Linked DNA regions of Notamacropus eugenii. The protein of the gene in region 1 interacts with the protein of each later gene in a biochemical or structural test. Links are inferred from orthologs where the notes say so. Each region holds a gene or a part of one and is shown in the gene's direction. Other genes may lie near its edges.

Region 1 (9,986 bases):
GGTAAGTAAATACATGAGAGTTTGAAGAGGGAGAGAACATTTACTTCTAGGGAGATACAAAAGGCTTCCTGTAGGAGGAGGTCAGGTTAGGTACAGTACATAGAGCGCTAGGTCTGCAGTCAGGAAGACTCCTCTTCCTGAGTTCAAATCTGTTTTCAGACTCTAGCTGTGTTACCTTCTGCAAGTCACTTAACCCTGTTTGTCTCAGTTTCCTCATCTGGCAAATCAGCTGGAGAAGGAAATGGCAAACCACTCCAATATCTTTGCCAAGAAACTCCAAATGGGGTCAGAAAGAGTCAAATAACAAAAAAGAAGAGGTGGTTTATTCAACATTGCTCTCTCCTTCTGCCTTTACCCCTCTGGGAGGGAGCCCACTCTCAGATCTGACCAGTCAGAGAAAGTGAGGGAATTAGGTACTATCCAGTAGGCAGTGGATAGAGGTCAAAGGTGGGCCATGGGATTTGAGGGGGGAGATGATGAAAAGCTGGAGTCAAAAGAACCAATTTCTTCAGACATCCTCCCCTTTGCTTTCTCCAGACAGGCAGCTCACTATGCCCAAAGCCTTAGCTCCTGAAGACCACAGGGATTGTGGAGATATGGTGGCAATAGTATTGGATTTGAAGTCATAGGGAATAGATTCCAATTCCAGTTCTGGTCCTTTGGTGAGCTTGAATAGATCTCTCTAGGTCTTAGTTTCTTCTTCCATAAAACAGGGACTGTAGTATGCTCTACCTTACAGGGTCATTGTGGGGCTTAAATGAGAAGGTAATATATAAAAATATATTGTGGAAAGTGCTAAACTTGGCAACTAATGTGACTTTGGGTAAGTCCATGCCCTTCTCCGAATCTATTTCCCCATCTGTAAAATGACGAGGTTATCTCTAAAGTTCCTTCCAACTCTAAATCTTGTGACCTATGACCGTGACTGTTTGATTTCTGGTGTTTAATTGCTGGACTTCACCCAAGTACAGCTACTGAATTACAAACACAGTTTATTTTGTTTGTTTTTGTGGAGGCTTGGGATAATTAAAAAAAATTTTGTCAGAATTCAAGATGTTCACAAATTCCCTTCTGGGTCCTAGAGAGACAGTGTTCTCAAGCTCTGCCCCCCTCCCCTCGACTATGGTCAAGGCCTTGACTCTGCCCTGCCCTTGATATGGGGCTGTGGGGCTGTGGGGAGCTGTTGCCTGATTGTTTACTCAGGAAGGCTGATAGTCACAGGTCCAGAGCAAAGTGTAAATCAGATTTGGGCCCCAAGTATCAGGGTCCAGCTGGGAGGGATGGCCAGATGTTGTTGTAAGGTCTTATTCTAGACAACTCAAGTTAGAGTGAGAGAAATAAGAAAGGAATGGAAAAAGTTGCCAATTTTATCCCAAAAGATTTTTGCTAGACCCTCAGGACCATTTTAGGCTTAGAACAGGTATATGGTGTAAGATACCAGTAGAAGTGTAATAGAAGTGTAATTCTTGCCAAAACTGCTTTTGAGTTTCCCCAGTAAGTTCTTGTCAAATCGGAATTCATATTCCCTTCCATTCACCCCCAACCCCCAACCCATTGCTGTGTTTAGCATATTCAGGCCAAGAGAAGGGAGTTATGTCAGTCCAGGCTGTGATGTGAAAGCACTGACCAAGAAACTGGGGTTTTAGTCTTGACTTTGTCATTAAATCACTGTATGACCTTCGATATGTCACTGGCCCTCTCTGGGTTTCCCCATTTGCAAAATAACAGGCTTGAACTAAGAATCCTTTTCAACTCATATTTTATACTATAATGACCTACTCAGTTTTGTGATTCTTTAGTCTAAGGTCCCTTCCAGCTCTAAGTCTATGGTCTAAGATCCATGTTTGATAGTATATGAGTCTATGGAGGATTCTGGTCTATTAGAGTATTTTGAGGGTCTCAGGACCCCTATCCCTATCCATTCTAAAACATCTCACCCATGTGCTTGCTATAGAGTCTGAAACTGTGAGATTAGAGCTCGCTTCTTTCATTCATTCAGCAAACATCACCTGAGTCTTTCAGTTCCTCTCTCCCAATTGTGTACCCATTCCTGGATTTCACTTACCGAGAATTAGGAAGAAGGGCAGAACCTGGCTCTATTCTTGGGGAACTCACAGTGGGTAAAGGATGCAGAGAAGGATAAGATCTTCCCTCAGGGAACTTGGAATTAAGAAGGAAGAAAAGGACGTGTGTATGATAACTTGAAACCAAGACCGAATGTGAGTAGGGCCACAATAAAATGATAACTTATGTTTTTAGAGTGCTTTAGAGTTTACAAAGCATTTCCTCACCACCCACTTGTGAAATTGGTTGTACCAGTATTATCATGCCCATTTTGTTATTGTTGTTTGACCTTTTACTCTAGGATTTTACAGATAAGGATGCTGACATCCAAAGTTGAAGGGGCTTTCCCTGAAGCTGTAAGCGGTGCTTTCTTTCATATAAGAATACTGCACCCATTTAACTCTAAGGTTTTAAGGAGGGTGACATTACTTCTAATTGGAGGATCCTGTAAATCAGTGGGTAAATAGGTCTCCATTTAAGACAATTCCGTTCATAATGTACCTTTCAAGAATGTACAAATTCAATGAAGATATATTCTGTGCCTACAATACACAAGGCATCTACTGTGTATCAAGTGCTGTGCTATGCACCTGGGACATAAAGGAGAAAAGACAACAGTCTTTACTCTAAAGGAATTTTTATTCTATTGGGAAAACAACACATGCACATTGAAGCCAATACAAAATAGCAGCTGGGGTTATAGGAAAAGTCTCATGTAGGAGGTTCCACATGACTAGAACTTCAAAAGAAACTAAGGATTGTAAGAAGTGAGGTGGGGCTGCATTCCCAGGATGGAATAACAATAATAATAAAAACTAATTTTATATAGTGCTTGGGCAGCTAGGTGACCCAGTGGATAGAGTGCTGGGCCTGAAGTCACAAAGATTCCTCTTCCTGAGTCCAAATCTGGCTTTAGCTGTGTGACCCTGGGCAAGTCACTTCACCCTGTTTGCCTCAGTTTCCTCATCTGTAAAATAAGCTGGAGAAAGAAATAGCAAACCATTTTAATATCTTTGTCAAGAAAACCCCAAATGACATCAGGAAGAGTTGAACTTGACTGAAATTATTGAGTGCTTACTATATGCCAGGCAGTGTGGTAAGTGAGTTACATTTATCATCTCATCTGATCCTCACAGCAACCCTGGGAGATACACTATTATTATAATATCCATTTCTATGGATGAGGGAACTGAGGTAAATGTTAGTGTATGACTCCAACTCAAGTCTTTCGGATTTCAGGCCTAGCACTCTCTCCACTTCAAGGAGATGGGAAATGGAATGTTGTGTACCAGGCATAGTAAGTAAGCCTGTTTAGCTGTTTCAGTTTCCTGTGTATCCCCCCTATCCGCTAAGAACCTTGCTTTTTATTTCACTGAATGAATGAAGTCTTTCCTCAGAAGCTATTTCTCCAGACATTTGCACCCACTGCCTCTTCCCTCACCTCAGCCACACGTGAAGAGATGGCCCCTTCTCCCTCTCTATCCCATTTTTTTTCTCCAGCAGATTTTCTCCATCATCCATACTCCCTATCTAATCTTCAATCTTTCTCCATCTACTGACAACTTTCCCAATGCTTACAAACACACCCGTCTTTCTTCCATCCTCAAAAGTCTCTCATTTAATCCATCCCTCCCCATTAATAATCATTCTGTCTCTTCCCTTCCCTGGCTAACCTCCTTGAGAAGGTTCACTACAATGGATGCCTCCATTTCCTTTCCTCTCACTTTCTTCTTCTTCTTTTTTTTAAAGAAGTCGTGATTATTTAAATAGTTGGCAAAAACAAAACAAAAAAAGCAAAAGCAAACAAGTTTATGGATCTCAAGTTAAGAAAACCTGCTTGAGACACATTTTATTCTCATCACATCCCTCTCCTAAAGAGCAGGAGACCTTTAAGAGAACAGGAGTCGTGTCTTATCTAAACTTTGTTTCTTCTATTTCTAGTGTAGTGCTCAATAAATATGTATTTCTTTAAAACTTATTTATTAGAATTCATTTTTTAAAACTGAATTCCAAATTTGGTCCCTCCCACCTTTCCCCCCCTCCCTCTTAAGAAGGCAAAAAATGCAATATCAATCATACATGTCTCACTTTCTTCTCAACTCTCTGCAGTCTGGCTCAACCAAAATGCCTTTCTCCAAAGTTACCAATGATCTCTTAATTGACAAATGTAACAATCTTCATGCTTCATGACTTCTCTGATGCGTTTGACACTGGCTTTCACCCTCTTTTCCTGGATATTCTCCTCTCTCTAGGTTTTCATGACAAGTCTCTTTCCTGGTTCTCCTCCCACCTGACTGATTGATCCTTTTTCATAGCTTCTAGTTAGTAGCACTCAGTTAGAAATTACCATGAATTGTTTTGTCTTTCATGGATAAGTCTCTTCCTCACCCTTAGACTGTGAGTTCTCCTGAGGACAAGGTCTGCCCAAGATTATTCCTTTTCCGTCTCCCCTATATATCTGAACTGAACATAGTACCAGCATCCAGGGGCTTAGGTCATATCCTTCTCTCCAGTGAAAGGGCAGAAGACAGAAAAGACTGGTCCAGGGGTCCACTGCCTTGTTCCTGAGTCTCCTTTCCCCCCTGCCTAAACCTTAGGTTCAGTCCTTGGTGTCAGTTTAGTCTCATAGCTCAGGGGTCCAATGGTGTTGGCTCCATTAGCTAGCCAAATAAGTTCTCTCCCAGTCTTCTTTTTCTGGAGCATCTTGCTTATAATAGAAATTCTTACTCTGGCTAGGCTGGGTCATTCTCAGAGCCAGGTCGAGCAGGGACTTTCTTAGAATGGGTAATAGACCTGTATGTCAATTTTATCTTCACCCTCATCAATCTGGAAGTGCCATGAATCAGACGTAGGGAATTCTGCATTTCCCAGCTTTTTGCCAAAACATTCCGGTCCTGGTGTGGGTGGGGAAACTGTATAATTATTCTCCTTCCCCTGGAAAACAAATGGTTTTCAAAGTCTAGCTTTGTTACTTATTACCTACGTGGCCCTGGGCAGGTCACTTAAACGCTGGGCCTCAGTTTCTTCACCTGCAAAATGGGGCTAATAATAGCAATGATCTCCTGGGACTGTCATGAGGATCCAATGAGATGATTGATTACAAAGCGTCTGGCCACAGCAGCAGCTATTTTATTACTTGTAAAAAGAGGGGGCTATCTAACAGAGGACCAGCAAGCTTCTTTTCAGTTCTAAATTCAAATCTAAAACAAACTTAGGGCTAAAAGCTGATGAAGATGGGAGTAGACAAGAGGAAGGAGTGGGCTTTACTCCTGTTTAACCTTTCAGACTCAGTTCCCTCATTTGTCAAATGAGGGGCTTGGGCTGGATAATGGCCAAGGTCACAGTCTGTGTTCCTAAGACCCCGTAAGGGGAGGAGGAAAAGGAGGAAGGGAGAGCGGGGAGAAGAGAGCGAAGAGGAAGGAGAAGAGGATGAAAAAGAGAAGGGAGACGAGGAGGAGGACGAGAAAGGGAAGGGGGAGGAGGGAAAAGAGGAAGAAGGAGGCGGGGAGGAGCCGGGCGGATGTTGGCTGCATAGTTGGGGGAGGGCGGGGAAAGGGGAGGGCGGGCGCGCTAGCCGGGGCGGTGTGTGTCTGTGTTTGTGAGTGTGTGAGTGTGGGGGAGCGTGTGTGCAGGGCAGCGTGAGCCCGGGGCGCCAGGGCGGAGGAGGAGCCGGACGCGCTGGAGGGATCCGGAGGCCCCGCGCCCGGACTCGCGCCCCCCCCTCGCCCGCCCGGGCCGCGGTAGCCCCAGCCCAGAGCGCTGCAGGCGGCCGGGGGGTGGCTCTCCGGGCCGCCCCTCCCTCCTGCCCTCCCCGGCCGGACCCTGCGCCCCCAGCGCGGCCCAGCCCCCGCCCGGCCCCGGATCCGGCGGGAGGAGGAGGAGGAGGAGGAGGAGGAGGGGGAGGGGGGAGGAGGGCAGGCTAGCCGGACTCGGCAGCTGTAACAGCGGCTGCCACAGCTGGATCCCCGGCCCGGCCAATCCCGGCTGCGGCGGCGGCGGCGGCGTCCGGGGCCCGGGAGGAGGGGAGGAGGGAGGGGAGGCGCCGCGCCCCCCGCCCCCAGCCCCCCGCCCCGGAGCGGACTGGCATGCGGAGCGGGAGGCGGCCCCGGCCCGGCTAGGCCCGCGCCCCGCCAGCGGCACAGACCCCCCCCTCCACCCGGGGCCTGGCCAGGCCCGGCTCTCCGCAGGTAAGCGCGCATCCCGGCCGAGCCGGCGGCCTGCGGGGTCGGGAAGCCCGTCCTCCTGCGCCCCAGGGCCGGGAGAGGGGGGGCGCATGGCGCGGGGGCGGGGGTCCGGCCTGGTGCGCCCGGGCGCAAGACCCGCGGCACGGCGCGGCCAGGGCGCGGGCGCTTTGTTCCACGGGGTTGCGCCCCGGGACGTGGCTTTTTGTGTTTCCTTTTGTGCAAAAAAAAAAAAAAAGGAAGCGGGGCCGGGCTGGCTGCCCTCCCGCCTCTGCCCGCCTCTCCTCCCCGACCTTCTCTCCTCTCCCCACCGCCGCCGTATCCTGCGATTAGCGAACAGGAAGCTGTTGGCCGCCCCAAGCCAGCCGGGCCCCGGAGCCCAGACCTGCGAGCGCAAGGCTCCTGGCGCCCTCGGCCCGCTGGCGGGGGGCGTGGCGGGGCGCGCCGGGGCTGGGGGCCGGGAGCGAGCCTGGGCCGGCCGGCGTGCCATCCCTCCCCTCCTCCCCCCGGGAAGGGACCCGGGGGCACACATCCTGAGGTGCCCACCTAGGGAGGCGTGGGGCTCCCGGGGAGCTGGGCCACACCGGATTAGCCACCCCAGGGGAGCCCCTGCCAGGGCTTGGGGAAGATTTGCTCCTCGAAATCCCCGGCATCAGACTTTGCTGGACAGCCCTGGGTGCTGGTCCCATCTCTCGTGTCTCTTCTGTGTGACCTTGGGCAAATCGATTCACTTGTCTAGGTCTGTAAAATTCAGTTCTGCAAATGTGAAGTGCCTGTTGTGGGCAGGACCCTGCGGTTGACACTTCGAATACAAAGAAGCCTGGCATGCCCTTCTCTCAGGAAGCTTGCAGTCTAACAGAGGGAAAAGACTTGTCTCCAAATAATTGATTCAAGAGAGAATATGACGGGGCTTTTCAGTCTAAAAGGCAGAAATTGGAAGAGGGAGAGATGACTTAGCTGAGGGGTGGAGAACGGCTTCATGGAGGGGACAGTAAACAGCTGGAATTAACTGTAGAGGTGAGATTCCTGGGTGGGTAAATTGGGGCTGGCCTCTGGTGGCCCTTGACTGGCAGGTCTTTATTTACTAGGCTGTGGGGAGAGGAGGATTCACCGCCTTGCCTCCTATTGTGAGGATTTAATGAGAGAATGGAAGGGAAAGTGCTTTGGAAGCTATAAAGCATCTTGTACCTGTGAGGAAGGATTATTTTTGTCGTTAATGTATTCACTTACAATATGACCTTTCCTCAGTAATTACCTTTCTCCACCTCAGTTTCCTCATCTATCAGCGGGGGGTAAATAGAGTCCATTATTATTATGTGGGGTGGAGGGGATAGGCTGGAAAGAGTGCTTGTTGAGGAATTAAGAAACTTGTTTTCAGCCCAGCTACCACCTTGGCCAGTCACAGCGCTCTGTGCCAGTTTCATTAGTTCTAAAAGAGGATCATCCTTTAGATTGTGAGAGCCATTGCTTGAAGTACTTTGAATGAAAGACTGCCAAGATCTGGGTTCTAATCCTGCCTCTTGACACATGCTCATTGTGTGATCACAAAGCCTAACTTCTCACTGCCTCAGGCAACTGTCTTCAACTGTAAGTTACCAAGGAGTTGCCAGGTTGCACACTGATGAGAAGGTTGGTTGTGTGGGTGTGTGTATTTGGGAAAGACATGAATAACTTGGTGGTTCTTAAGACACCTATCCTTTCTGAACTATTTCTTTTGCCATTCCAGCTGTTGTCGGTCTGTGAGCTTCATGAGGGACTCATTTAAGTTCATATCTCAGCACAGACCACAGGATTCTTTCCACGTAGCAAGTTTTTAATCCTTGTTGTTTGATTTTGAATTTATAAAGCCGCTAGTCTTTTGAGGGCAACTTTGGGGTCTGCACAGCTCCAGGGAAGAGTTGGGAGATTCTCAGTTTCTACTAATCTCTAGGTCCCATCAAGCTTGTTCTTGAAACCTGGAAAATTTCACACCTTCATCCTCACCCTTTGAATGGTCTTTAATGTGTTTAGGTTCACAAAGCACTTTCTTCACAACTGTGCTGTAAGCAGTCTAATTTTACAGATAAGAAAACTGAGGCCTAGAGAGGGGAAATGGTTTGTCCATGACCACAAGCTAGCAAGTGTGCTGTGCTGCCTTACTCTGCATTGAGTTTGTGTGTCTGGTTCTGTGCTCAGCTCTGACCAGGGGAGAGATCAGAAGGAGAGATGTGATCTGTGCGTCTGGGCATTCTGTCTGGAGACTGCCTTTGTAAACAATATATGATGCAAGATCATATGTAAAACGGGACTTCAGAACTAGTGCACTTGGTCAGGAAGGGAGAGGTCAGCACAAGTTGTAGTAGTCTAGAAGGGCTTCCTGGAGAAGGTAGGACTTAATAACAATAACTGCTAGCATTTATATATAGGGCTTTAAAGTTTGCAAGGCATCTTATAATAAATATACAGATGCTGGGCCTCTTGAGAGTTCGACCAGTGAGTGGGACAATGTTTGTTTCTAGTCCCTTGGTTTCCCCAAATGCTTTCCTACCTATTACTTCATTCAACTTTTACCGTAAGAGGGGGTGGGGCAGGCTTTATTATTTCCTTACCTTTTTACAGGTGAGGAAACAAGTCCACAGTGCTTGTGACTTGCCTAGGGTCGCATGGTGAGCTAGGTTCTGCCCAAAAGAGGCCTTCAGCTGTTTGGAGAGAATGCCTCTTGATTCTAGGGTGGCTCAGGGTGTAGACTAATTTTAAGGGAATAACTTTTTGGCGTGTTTGGATTTTGTGTCTCACCCCCCACCTCTGATGTCCATGCAATTATCTGCACTGGGTGAGACTTGAGTGTTTCTGGGTGGGGGAGTGCCTCTCCTTTTTCCCCTCCCCTTCCCGCAGGGAGCCAACGACAGGCCTTTGGTACAGTTTTTTTTCTCAGTCCTCTCCACCTCTCTTATAGCTTTTGAACACTGATCACCCTCTTTTTCTGGATTCAGTCTTAGTTTGTTTCCATCTTCTTTCCGACTCCATAATGTGGGTATCCTCTAAGGTGCAGTCCATAAAGTTTTCTTCTCCATAGTCTTACTTGGCAGGATCCTCTAATTTCGTTCAATAAACAACCCACTGTTTCTCAAATACAACACTCCATCTCTTTGTCTCAGCACTGGCTGCTCCCTACCTCCCTCCCCTTCCTCCCAAATGCCTGGAATGCTCTCCCTCCTCATTTCTGCCACATAGAATCCCCCTGGCTTCCTTTAAGACTCCACTCAAACACTACCTGCAAGAGGCCTTTCTCAATCCCCCAAAGTTGCTAGATCCTTCCTACTAAAGTTGTGTATCTTGTAGCTACTTATCTCTTTGCCTCTTTATTAGAACGTGAGTTCCTTTTGGGGCAGGGACAATTTTTGCCTCTCTTTGTATCTACTGTGTCATAGATTGAGGGCTTAATAATTCTTGTTGAATGACTGATCTTTTTTTTTTCAATGTTCAGAGTTTTTCTTTTATATCTTTTTTTATCACCTTCATTTCCAAATACATCCCTCTCTCCTATCCCTTGAGAATCAGCCCTTTGTAGCAATATTAACTGTTTTATCAACTGAGGCTGATAGTTATATGAAATGTACCACACCCATAATCTGCCACCACTGCAAAGATCAATAAACAGACACTTATTAAATGCCTACTCAGTACAGAGGCTTGTGCACAGTATTAAGGGAGATAACAAGATTTGGAAAAGACAGTCTTTATTCTCATAGAGGTGACAGT
Region 2 (9,697 bases), on another chromosome or scaffold:
AAATATTTGCCCAAGTCACATCTATCCAGAGCTCCTGCTTAGATTTCAATAATTGATCAACCCACACCTGTATGGTTGCGTGGTGGAGGAGAACCTAGCTAAAGTCAGAAACTATTTGGGCAGAGCTCTACACAGAACGCTTGGGCTTAGGGGAATGCATAAATCCAATTTATTAAATCCATTTCATTTAGGAATATCACCAACTCCCTTGTAGATCCCCAACTGTGAGCTGGCTGCCATCTTTATAAGGCCAGGTGTGAATAATCTTATCAGCCATCTAAAAAGAAACAATATATTTCTTTTAAAAGCAAATGTAGTTCACGCTTTAAAATAAGAGTTCAGAGAATTATCTGAGGCTATGGAAAGTCCACAGCAGAGAGGCTCTTGATGTAGGTTCCATTAGAACACACCTAGGGACTCCTCAAGTTTCTGTTTGAAAATCCCCAGAAAGCAACTGAACCCTCTCCCACTGAACAGGGACCCATCTCCTGAGCCTTCAAGATAGGAAGTCACTATCCTCCTCCTAAGAGTTGTTAAATTCTTTCAGTTGTGTCCAAATGTTTGTGATTCCATTTAGGGTATTCCTTGGCAAAATTACTGGAGTGGTTTGCCATTTTTTTCTCCAGCTAATTTTACAAATGAAGAAAATGAGGCAAACAGCGTCATCACACAACTAGTAAGTGTCTGAGGTAGAATTTGAATACAGGTCCACCTGACTCCAAGGTTGGTGCTCTATAAGCTGCACTACCTGCCTGCCCTCCTATGAGTAGTGACAAGATAAGCCTGAACCTTCCTTACCCTGGGTGGGAGTGCCCCAGCCTCTGCCCCAAGTCTGCTCTCCTCTAGTCCCATGGCTCCAATCAGCAGGAACCTGAACCTTTAGATCAGAGATCATAGGGTTGATTCTTTGCAGGAAACCCTCAGTACCCCTTGAGAGAGATCTCTTCACATGTGCAGTCACTAGTTGTATTAGCTGTCTCTTGACTTTCATTGCATGGTCCCTGAAAGCTGAGAGTTCTGTTTTTAGCTGCTGCTGAATGTACCAGGCCATTTTACTCTATTTGACTGCACTCACAATCCAACTTACTTAGAGCAGTCAACAACATCCAGGGAGTGCTGGTCTTGACATTTTCTTTACCCTGTCAGCAGCCTTCTCCAGTATCCAATAATCTAATTCCTCTACCCACAGAGAGGACTCTCCATAGACAATCAGGAGAGCTCTGTCAAGAGGGAGTCAGGGAATGTCCTGCCATCTGATCACGTGACCCTCCTCCTCCACATTTCAGGGTTCTTCCCCCAACTCAAACACTATTTGAGCCATGAAGCCTTTTCATCTAATCCTGATCTGCCAAAACTACATTAAATGTATGAGTCACTCCACTCTTAGTCCAGGTTTGATAAAAGGAAGCATGGACAAGTCACTGGACATTTAACAAGAGGTTTACTTTGCCCTAAAATAGCAAGAAAATGCAGTAAGGATAGGGGTTTTTATGCCCTTAAAAAGCTGCATTATGGAAGGGGAGGTAAGAGAAGAGATATTAGACCCCAGAATTAGCTTGGTCCTAGCTCTATCTTATGTTGGCTATAAGGGGAAGGGGAGTGGAAGGCAAGGAAGCTGCATCAGGTAAACTGGAGTCAAAGGAATTTACTTCAGAAAAATGCTTGTCCCATCACAGTATGGATATACATATGTGTGCATAATATATTTAAACCTCTTACTACTTGCCAAGCCCTATACTTACACTGGAGAAACAAAAATAAAAAAAAAAAATTACAGTTCATGTCCTTGAGAAACTTACACTCTATAATAAGAGGGAAGGGGGAAAAAGAAGGCAAGGATGAACATGAAAGATGAACCTATGTCTTTGGGCTCAGTTTCTGAACCCTCATGGCCTTGGCAATTAGTTTCTCCGCTGCATAGCTAACACTGAGGGCTGAGTGCCTTCCTCTAGTACTGTTGCTTATGAACCTCTATCTGGTGTGTTTTATCCAATATCAGTAGCTAATTAACACCCTCATTATCATTAACTGGTGTTACAAGGGATATTTTCAAAGAATATAGGTCAAGGACCTAAGCACAACCCAAAATGGGAGTACACTCTTCACTATTACTCCAGTTCTAAACCTAAAAGTGATTGTTACAAAATATTCCTTCCATCAAATTTACTGGACACAGATGGCTCAGGAGAAGTAAGGTTGTGAGTAAGTGAGGTTGGTGACCTTGCACAGCCCTCCCTCCCTCAAATCAAAGTCAACTACAAGTCATGTCATCATCCTGATGTCACTGTCCTCCTCAAGAACAAACTATAAACACAACAACAACAACTTCTAGGTATGGTGTAGCAGAAGGATGACTTGCTTCCTAGCTTGAAGGATGTGGTGTCTCTCATGCCAGATTGATTAATTCATTGGGTTAAGCTGGTACCTCTTCAGAGTTGGCTCCTCACAGATTAGGTACTCCAACAGCAAGACTGTAACCAACTTGATGGTTCTGATTTTAAAAGCTCACAAGGTCATACCTTTTTCCACTCTATCTTTGATATTCAGTCACCTAAAGTTAGGAAAAAAGAAATATGGCTAAGACAGAAGAAACAGCAACATGTGTTCACAGCCAAATCAGGGAGTGAGGCTGCTATCCTAACCAGAAGCCCACAGCAATTCCAGCTTCTCAGTGGCCACCTGGGAAGAGAGTGAGAACTGGTCTGTTCCTTGCTTTCATATGCACTCTCAATTCCAGCTCAGTAGCCAATTAAAGCCTTTTTACCATCATGCATAAGAAGACAGGAAAAAGAAAATATCAGGGACTGCTCTAAAGCCAATCAATTACTCAACTAGCATTTATTAAGTATCTACTATGTGTAAGGTACTGGGCTAAGTGCTGGGGGTAAAGTTAAAGAGAAAGGTTAAAGATAGTCCCTGCTTTCAATGAGACATTGTGTTAAGAACTCTGTCCAAACCAGTGATATACAAAACAAATTGAGATAATTTTTAGAGGGAAAGACTCAATATTAAGGATTGAGAAAAGCTCCTCTAAGAAGGTGGGACTTTAGCTCAGATTTGAAAGAACTAGGAACGCCAAAAGGCAGCAATGAGGAGTGAGAGAGCTCCAGGTAGGGAGCAAAGGAAGCAGAGAAAGGGTTTAGATATGCAGGAGAACCAGAAGAAAGCAGTGTCACAAAAACCTGGAAAGAAGACAGCATTAAGTGGAAGGTGAGAGACAGTGTCAAAGGTTGCAGAGAGGTCAAGAAGAATGAGGTTTGAGAAAAAGGCCATTACATTTGACAACTAAGAGATCACTAGTAACTTTGGAGACAGGAATTTCAGTTGAATGAACTAAAACTGCACTCTCACTTGAATGGTGAAGTCAGAATCCAGACTACAAAGAGTTAAAAGAAAAAAGGACTGGGAGTCACCTGCAGTAGACAGTTTGCCTACTCAAGGAGTTTAGCTACAAAAAGGAGAGACACAGGATAATAGCTAGTGAGGATGGATGCATCAAGTGACAGTTTTTTGAGGATGGGGGAGATGGGGTACAGATGTGAGCAGAGAGAAAAAAGGTTCCTTTATTATGCATTCCCTCTCTCCTCACCTCTGCCTCCTGCCTTCCTTCAAGTCGCAGTTAAAATCCCAGGAAGCCTTTCACAATCCTTCTTAATTCCAGTGACTTATCTCTGTTGATTATCCAATTATTTTATGATTTATATTCCAATTATTTCCAATTGATTTCTGTATATATACATACACAAATCCACAGAGAGAGAGAGAGAGAGAGAGAGAGAGAGAGAGAGAGAGAGAGAGAGAGAGAGAGAGAGAGAGGAGAGAGAGATGACTTGGGAGGTTGTTTGCATGTTGTCTTCCCCCATAATACTGCGAGCACCTCAAGAGTAAGGAACTGTCTTGGGCCTTTCTTTGTATCTCCCCGGCTTAGCACCATGCCTGGCACATAGCTGGTACTTTAAACTGCTCAGCGATTGATTTCGGCTCACTAAGCTTCCATAGAGGCAGAGCCTACGTTCTAAAGACTAGGCCTTCATTGTACAATTCTCCTAATACATGAGTAAACAGAAAATATATACAAAGTAACCACAATCTAATTTCAGTAGAGTTGCGAGGACTGAGGAGGGGAAGTATGGGCAGACTTTCCAGCTCCCTCCTCTACCTCCCTCTGCTACTGCAGCAGGTAGAGTTCTAGGAATACTTACTACTAATTAAATTAAATACTTATTATGCAAATCCTGGAACTGATACAGCATTGTAAGCAGGGGATGTTTTTGGATGTCCACCTTTCCGATACACCATATTAAGTCTTACATCCCCTTGGACGCTGGCCATTATGGTATCGCCAACATTAGGCTCATCTCAAGGGAAATAATATTAAGACCAGAGAATTAAAAAAAAAAAAAAACAACCTAAAACTGCAGTTCTTTCTCCCAATTCTCCACGGCTGCATAAAAAGTCTGGACAAGCTTTATATTCCTGACATTCTCAGCTAAAAGTCTTCTTCCCGGCATGACATCTAGCCAACAAGCCTCCAAGTTACGGGATCCGGGCAAACAACACGAATTACGTGTCCACCACTTAGAGGGGACGAACAAGCCGCGGAGGGCATCGTGGGCACGAAGGTTACCTAATGGAGTCCTCGTCTTCGCCGGTCCTCCGCAGTGCCACGCGGGGTTGCCCTCGAGGGTCACGCACGTCCCAACGTCTCACTGCGCTCACTACACGAGGGGCTCCAGCTCGGCAGGTGAACCCCGCTTTCCGCTAGGCCCCCCCCGCCCCCCATGAAGCCAATTTTCTTCGGCAGAATCTCAAGTTAGTGGAAAAAACGAGGGGGGGGGGGAGGAGAGTGTTTTACAGGAGGGTGGGCGTGGCGTGAAGGAAGCGAGGAAATTCTTCGCGGACAAATACAAAGCACGGGGCAGCTTAGGCACAACACGCGGGCACGGGTGGGCGGCCTCGCCCCGCGCCACGAAGCGGCCGGCCGGGGCCCACCCCGCGAGCCTCCCGGGGGAATTCCCCTTCGGAACTCGGAGCGGAGGTGGGGGAGGGGTCCTCGCGGGGCACCCCGCGGCCACGCGCTCGTCTGCAGGGGAGGGGGCTGGGGGGCGTCTTGCTAAGGCCAGCCTCGCCGCCTCCGCCGCAGGCACGCGCGCCCGCCAGCCCCGGGCTTCCCGCTCTGGGCCCCGCGCCCCGCCCCCGCCCCGGCCTGGCTCGCGATAAGAAAGGGAAGAGGGGGAGGAGCGAGGATGCGGAGGCTAGGCCAGGCGAGCGCAGGGCGGGGAGGGGAGGAGGAAAGGAAGCGGAGGGCGGGGGAGAGGGGAAGGGGGCTCTCGCGCGATTGGGCGAGGTTTCCGGTGTTGTGACTGAAGCCCGTCAACATGGCGGCGAGTGTCCGCGGCCGCTCGCTGAAGCACCTCAGGATACGAGGTAACCCCTCCGCTAGCCCTCTCCCCTCCGCTCCGGGCGCCCCCCCTCTCGGGGCCGCCTCCCCCCCTCCCACCCCCCGGGCTCGCGGGGCGGGCGTGGGGCCTGCGCCCGGGGCTCCGGCTGTGGCCGGGGCCGCCGCCGGCCTGCGAGTCCTAACTGGGTCTCTCTGTGTTTCGCGCAGGGCGGAATGACAGCGGCGAGGAGAACGTCCCGCTGGATCTCACCCGAGGTAACTAGCGGCGGGCGGCGGCTGGGGCGGGCCCGCGCGGCCCCTGGGCTTGGGCCCGGGGGGGGGGGGGGGGGGAGGGGCGAGGTGCTGGGTCCGAACCGCGGGCCCTGGGACTGCCCTGCGGGAACCATCCCCCTTCTCTCCCTCGTCCCGGCTTCCCCGCCTGCCCCTGCCCCGGGTGGGCGGCAGCGAGCGGGGGAGACCAGCTCCAGGGCACTCGGAAGGGGGAAAGGATGTACTTTGTCCCGCAGCTCTGCGCCCCTCAATCCTGGGGGCGGCCTGGGGAGGGGGGGGAAGAAGCTGTTATTTAGGTTGCGAGAGGATGTCTCGGGGAAGATCGACCACATCCTGCCGTCTTCCCCCTCCCCACCCCCCGCAGCACGCAGGATCGCTCTTTATTCACCACCTCGGGGGAAACGAGGGATCGATAGGTTTGTGTGCGGCTGCTGCCTGCGAGGTGTCTGGTCCAGCCGCCGGGAGGGTGGCTGGCAGAGCCCGCCCCCTCACCCGCTGCAGGTTCATTGTTTACCGTCGGCTGCAGCCTGGAAGGTTTGTTTACGCCGTCTGAACTGCTGAGAAACCTCAGCTCTATTTTGAAAAGACCTCCCCTTGCCCGACATTCCTTCCATCGGCGGCTGTGTCGGAATGCGTCCCCGCTGCCTAGCGTCGGGCGATCGGGGAGGCGATCTTCTCAGGGTAGCACCAGTTTCACGTAGACTTCTCCTCCAGTGAGGTCTGCTTTGTTTACTGTCGAGAAGCCGGAAAAAACCTTTGAACTTTAAATTCTGCGTAACTCTCTCAAGACACTCGTTTAGTCCCAATTTCAGAATTGAGAAAAATCTAAAGTAGATTCCGTAGAGTTCAGTTATTACAGGTTGCCCATTGAGGCTACTTCTGACTTCACAGGCTAGTAAGTGTAACAGTTTTCAGTATTTTTAGTATTCTTTCAAATCTTGTTAGTTGTGAATGATAGGAAGGTTGAGCTCTTATGTAGCTGTCCAGATACAATAGAACTATCTTATAGGTAATGGTTTATTCTTTGAGTCTAAGGATTTGGATTATTTTCAAATAAAACAATTTTTGAAGTAAAACGATTTAGTCTTTTAAGTGTTAGAAGCAGCAGTTAATTCACCGCCTAAGTGGAAAAATGATACTCTTTAGTAAAATCTTGGACATTATAATTGCTATAAAACTTTTTGTCTTCTGAATGTAAGGAAAGTATATGATGTTTTGAGTTGCAATAACTGGGAAAATACATAATCAAAAAAGTGTTGTTTGTCACTTCCATCTTCAGAGCTTCTCTACCAAAATAAATCTAGTTCCCAGAAAACTGAAACTTAGCATGCTAGTCTTTTATGCATGTAGTTGATTAGTGATTTGATTTATATCTGAGCAGTTTTTTTAAAAGAGATAATTAGGCTAACTCCAAATGGAATTCGTGCTTTTAAATTGGCTTAGTAATTTATCATAGTGGGTTAACTGAGATCGTGTATGTATAGTTGATGAACAAATCTTTGGTGTATGGCTAAACTACTGGTGACCTGATAATTGAATGTTCAAATTTGATTTCAGGTAAGCTTGGTTTACTGAGATTTGCCTTCTTATGTAGCAGACCTTGGTTTTTAAACTTCACATATGTTTTTTCCAGCAAGCATTTATTAAATGCCTGTTGTTGTGTCAACTTAGCAAACATTTATTAAGTGCTTAATATATGCCAGGACATGCTAAGAGCTGGAAATGCAAATATAATAAATGAAAAGAAAGTTATCCCCTGTCCTCAAGGAGCTTATATTCTAATGGGAGGAAGACAAAGTATAAGGAAAAGCTGAAAAGTGGGGAGAGGAGGTAAAAGGGAAGGATGTGGGAAATGGAAAGATGGGCCAAAGAGCCAAAATGGGTAGTGAAGCAGTCAGCATCCTGTGGTTTGCACAGTTATTCTGTTTTAGGGATAATTCAAAGTAAGTAGTAGATAGTTTTTGTCTCCTAGAGAACTTTATATAGTCCAGTTATAACAAAATCTAAACATGGGAATAAATGGAAAATAATTTTTAAAAAGCAGTGTATAAGATGTGAGAATATAACATTCTATATTACAGAGGAGTTTTGCTTGAATAGGTCTGTAAGATTTATTGGCACTTTCGTAGTGAAAATATTTTTTAAACTGTAAGTCAGAAAATTACTGGGGTAGAACTGTAATTGTTTCATTGGGCAAAGAGGATTTGTGGACCCAATCTGAAGAAAGTTAGGAATTACATTTTAGTAGTGACCCTGAATCCTTTTCTAAGTCAACAGAATAGTAGGGCAGTCTGGGTGGATGAATCAGATGTATGTGAAATGGATTGTCTTGTGTAAAATCAGGTTGGGGTGCCAGCATTTTAAATGCTCTAGTAATTTTGCTGTAATTTCAGTTATTTATGTATTTTACGTGAAATCATTTATTTCTGTAAAATAGAGGCTTTGGTTAATATGATATGTATAAATCTTAGCTCTGTTACATAAAATGAGAATTATGTAAACAAAACTAAAAGAGAGAAGGGGAAGAATCTGAATTATTATATACCTAACATGAAGAAATTACGTTATTAATATGAGATTTTTTTCAAAACCAGTTAGATATGAAAATAAGCTGATAGGTCTATTGTTCTTTAAAGTTTGTAAAGTGATTTACACACATTTCATTTGAATCCCGTAGGATAAGTGCTAACTATAGTTATTATCATCCCCATTTTACAGGTGAGGAAACAGACTTAGAAAGGATAAGTTACTTTACTATGGTCGCACGGCTAGTAAGGGTCTGAGGTAGATTTGAACTCAGCTTTTTCTGATTCTAAGTTCTTTCTTTTCACTATGTGTTAATTGTTCTGTTGTTTCCAACTCTTTGTGACCTCATTTTGGTTTTTCTTGGCAAGAATAGCAGAATGGTGTGACATTTCCTTCTCCAGCTCATTTTACAGATGAAGAAACTGAGGCAAACAGGGTTAAGTTACCTGCCCAGTATCTAGCAAATATCTGAAGCTGGATTTGAACTCAGGAAGATGTCTCCCTGACTCCAGGCCCAGCACTCTATCCACTTCACTACCTAGTTGCCCTTCCACTAGGTGTGCTGTCATATATGGGTATCTGTAATACACCCCTTGAATATGATAGGAAAAAAGTAATTTGTGTACACTAAAGATGCATGTGAAAAGTAATAAGTGAATAGTACTTAGAGGAGAAAGGGATTTTTTTGTTTTGCAGTTCATTCAAATATTGTCTTAACTATTTAAGAGGTCAGAAAACGTCTTTATTTTGTCTACTACTTTCCCCAGTAGCTAGTATAGTGCTTCTGACATAGTAATAATGTTAATTACATAGAGCCAACTTTCACTAAATGTCTGTTGATTGATTGAGTTGAGATCAGTCCAAATTGTAACATTACTTTCTGTTATTTAGGAGGCTGCTTTGCATAGTGGATAGAGGATAGGTTCAAATCCTGCCTCTGACCCATACTGGCTGTTTGACCCTTGGAAATTCACTTAACCTCAGTGCCCTTGACCACTTTCCAAGACTTGAGAAGTTTTTTTCATGGGGAGTTCTTTCTACCATTGAAATCATGCTGTAGCCCCTGTCCTGAACCTCTCCATTGTCAAATCTAGCCATTCAAATTAATTACTTGATTTGTTGACTTCCCAGGTATTTACTATGCACAGCATTAAATTTGTTTATAACTTTGTTAATATCTCCTTTTCCTCTACTTTCCATGAATTGAAACCCATATATCCTAACCACTACTTCTACCTCAGGGACTTTTTCAGGGACAGACTTTAGTGTAGGGGTCCATGAACTTTTTTTTTTTTTTGCAAAAGGTCTTAACCTGGGATCCGTAAACTTGAAATATTTTTTTATAGCTATTTCAATATAACTAGTTTCCTTTGTGATTTCAAACTTTTCATCTTTTTAAAACTTTATTATGAGAAGGGGTCCATAATTTTCACAGATTGCTAAAGGAGTTCCACAAAAATGTACCCTGGCTTTATTGTTGGTCTGAATGTCTTGTCTGAC

The links.
Region 2: of the proteins of AKT1 (region 1) and RICTOR, one has a biochemical effect on the other in vitro, tested with the Homo sapiens proteins (7 studies listed by BioGRID, with this or other methods). The link is inferred for Notamacropus eugenii from reciprocal best matches to the Homo sapiens genes AKT1 and RICTOR.

Annotation. Positions count from the first base shown.
Region 1 is NC_092872.1:346,209,199-346,219,184, forward strand, and holds the start of AKT1 (RAC-alpha serine/threonine-protein kinase), read left to right. Parts: upstream 1-6,130; 5' UTR 6,131-6,251; intron 6,252-7,153; exon of another isoform or gene 7,154-7,262; intron 7,263-9,986. UniProt on the Homo sapiens protein: AKT1 is one of 3 closely related serine/threonine-protein kinases (AKT1, AKT2 and AKT3) called the AKT kinase, and which regulate many processes including metabolism, proliferation, cell survival, growth and angiogenesis.
Region 2 is NC_092875.1:421,423,408-421,433,104, forward strand, and holds the start of RICTOR (rapamycin-insensitive companion of mTOR), read left to right. Parts: upstream 1-5,086; 5' UTR 5,087-5,378; coding exon 5,379-5,427; intron 5,428-5,608; coding exon 5,609-5,656; intron 5,657-5,751; exon of another isoform or gene 5,752-9,697. UniProt on the Homo sapiens protein: Component of the mechanistic target of rapamycin complex 2 (mTORC2), which transduces signals from growth factors to pathways involved in proliferation, cytoskeletal organization, lipogenesis and anabolic output.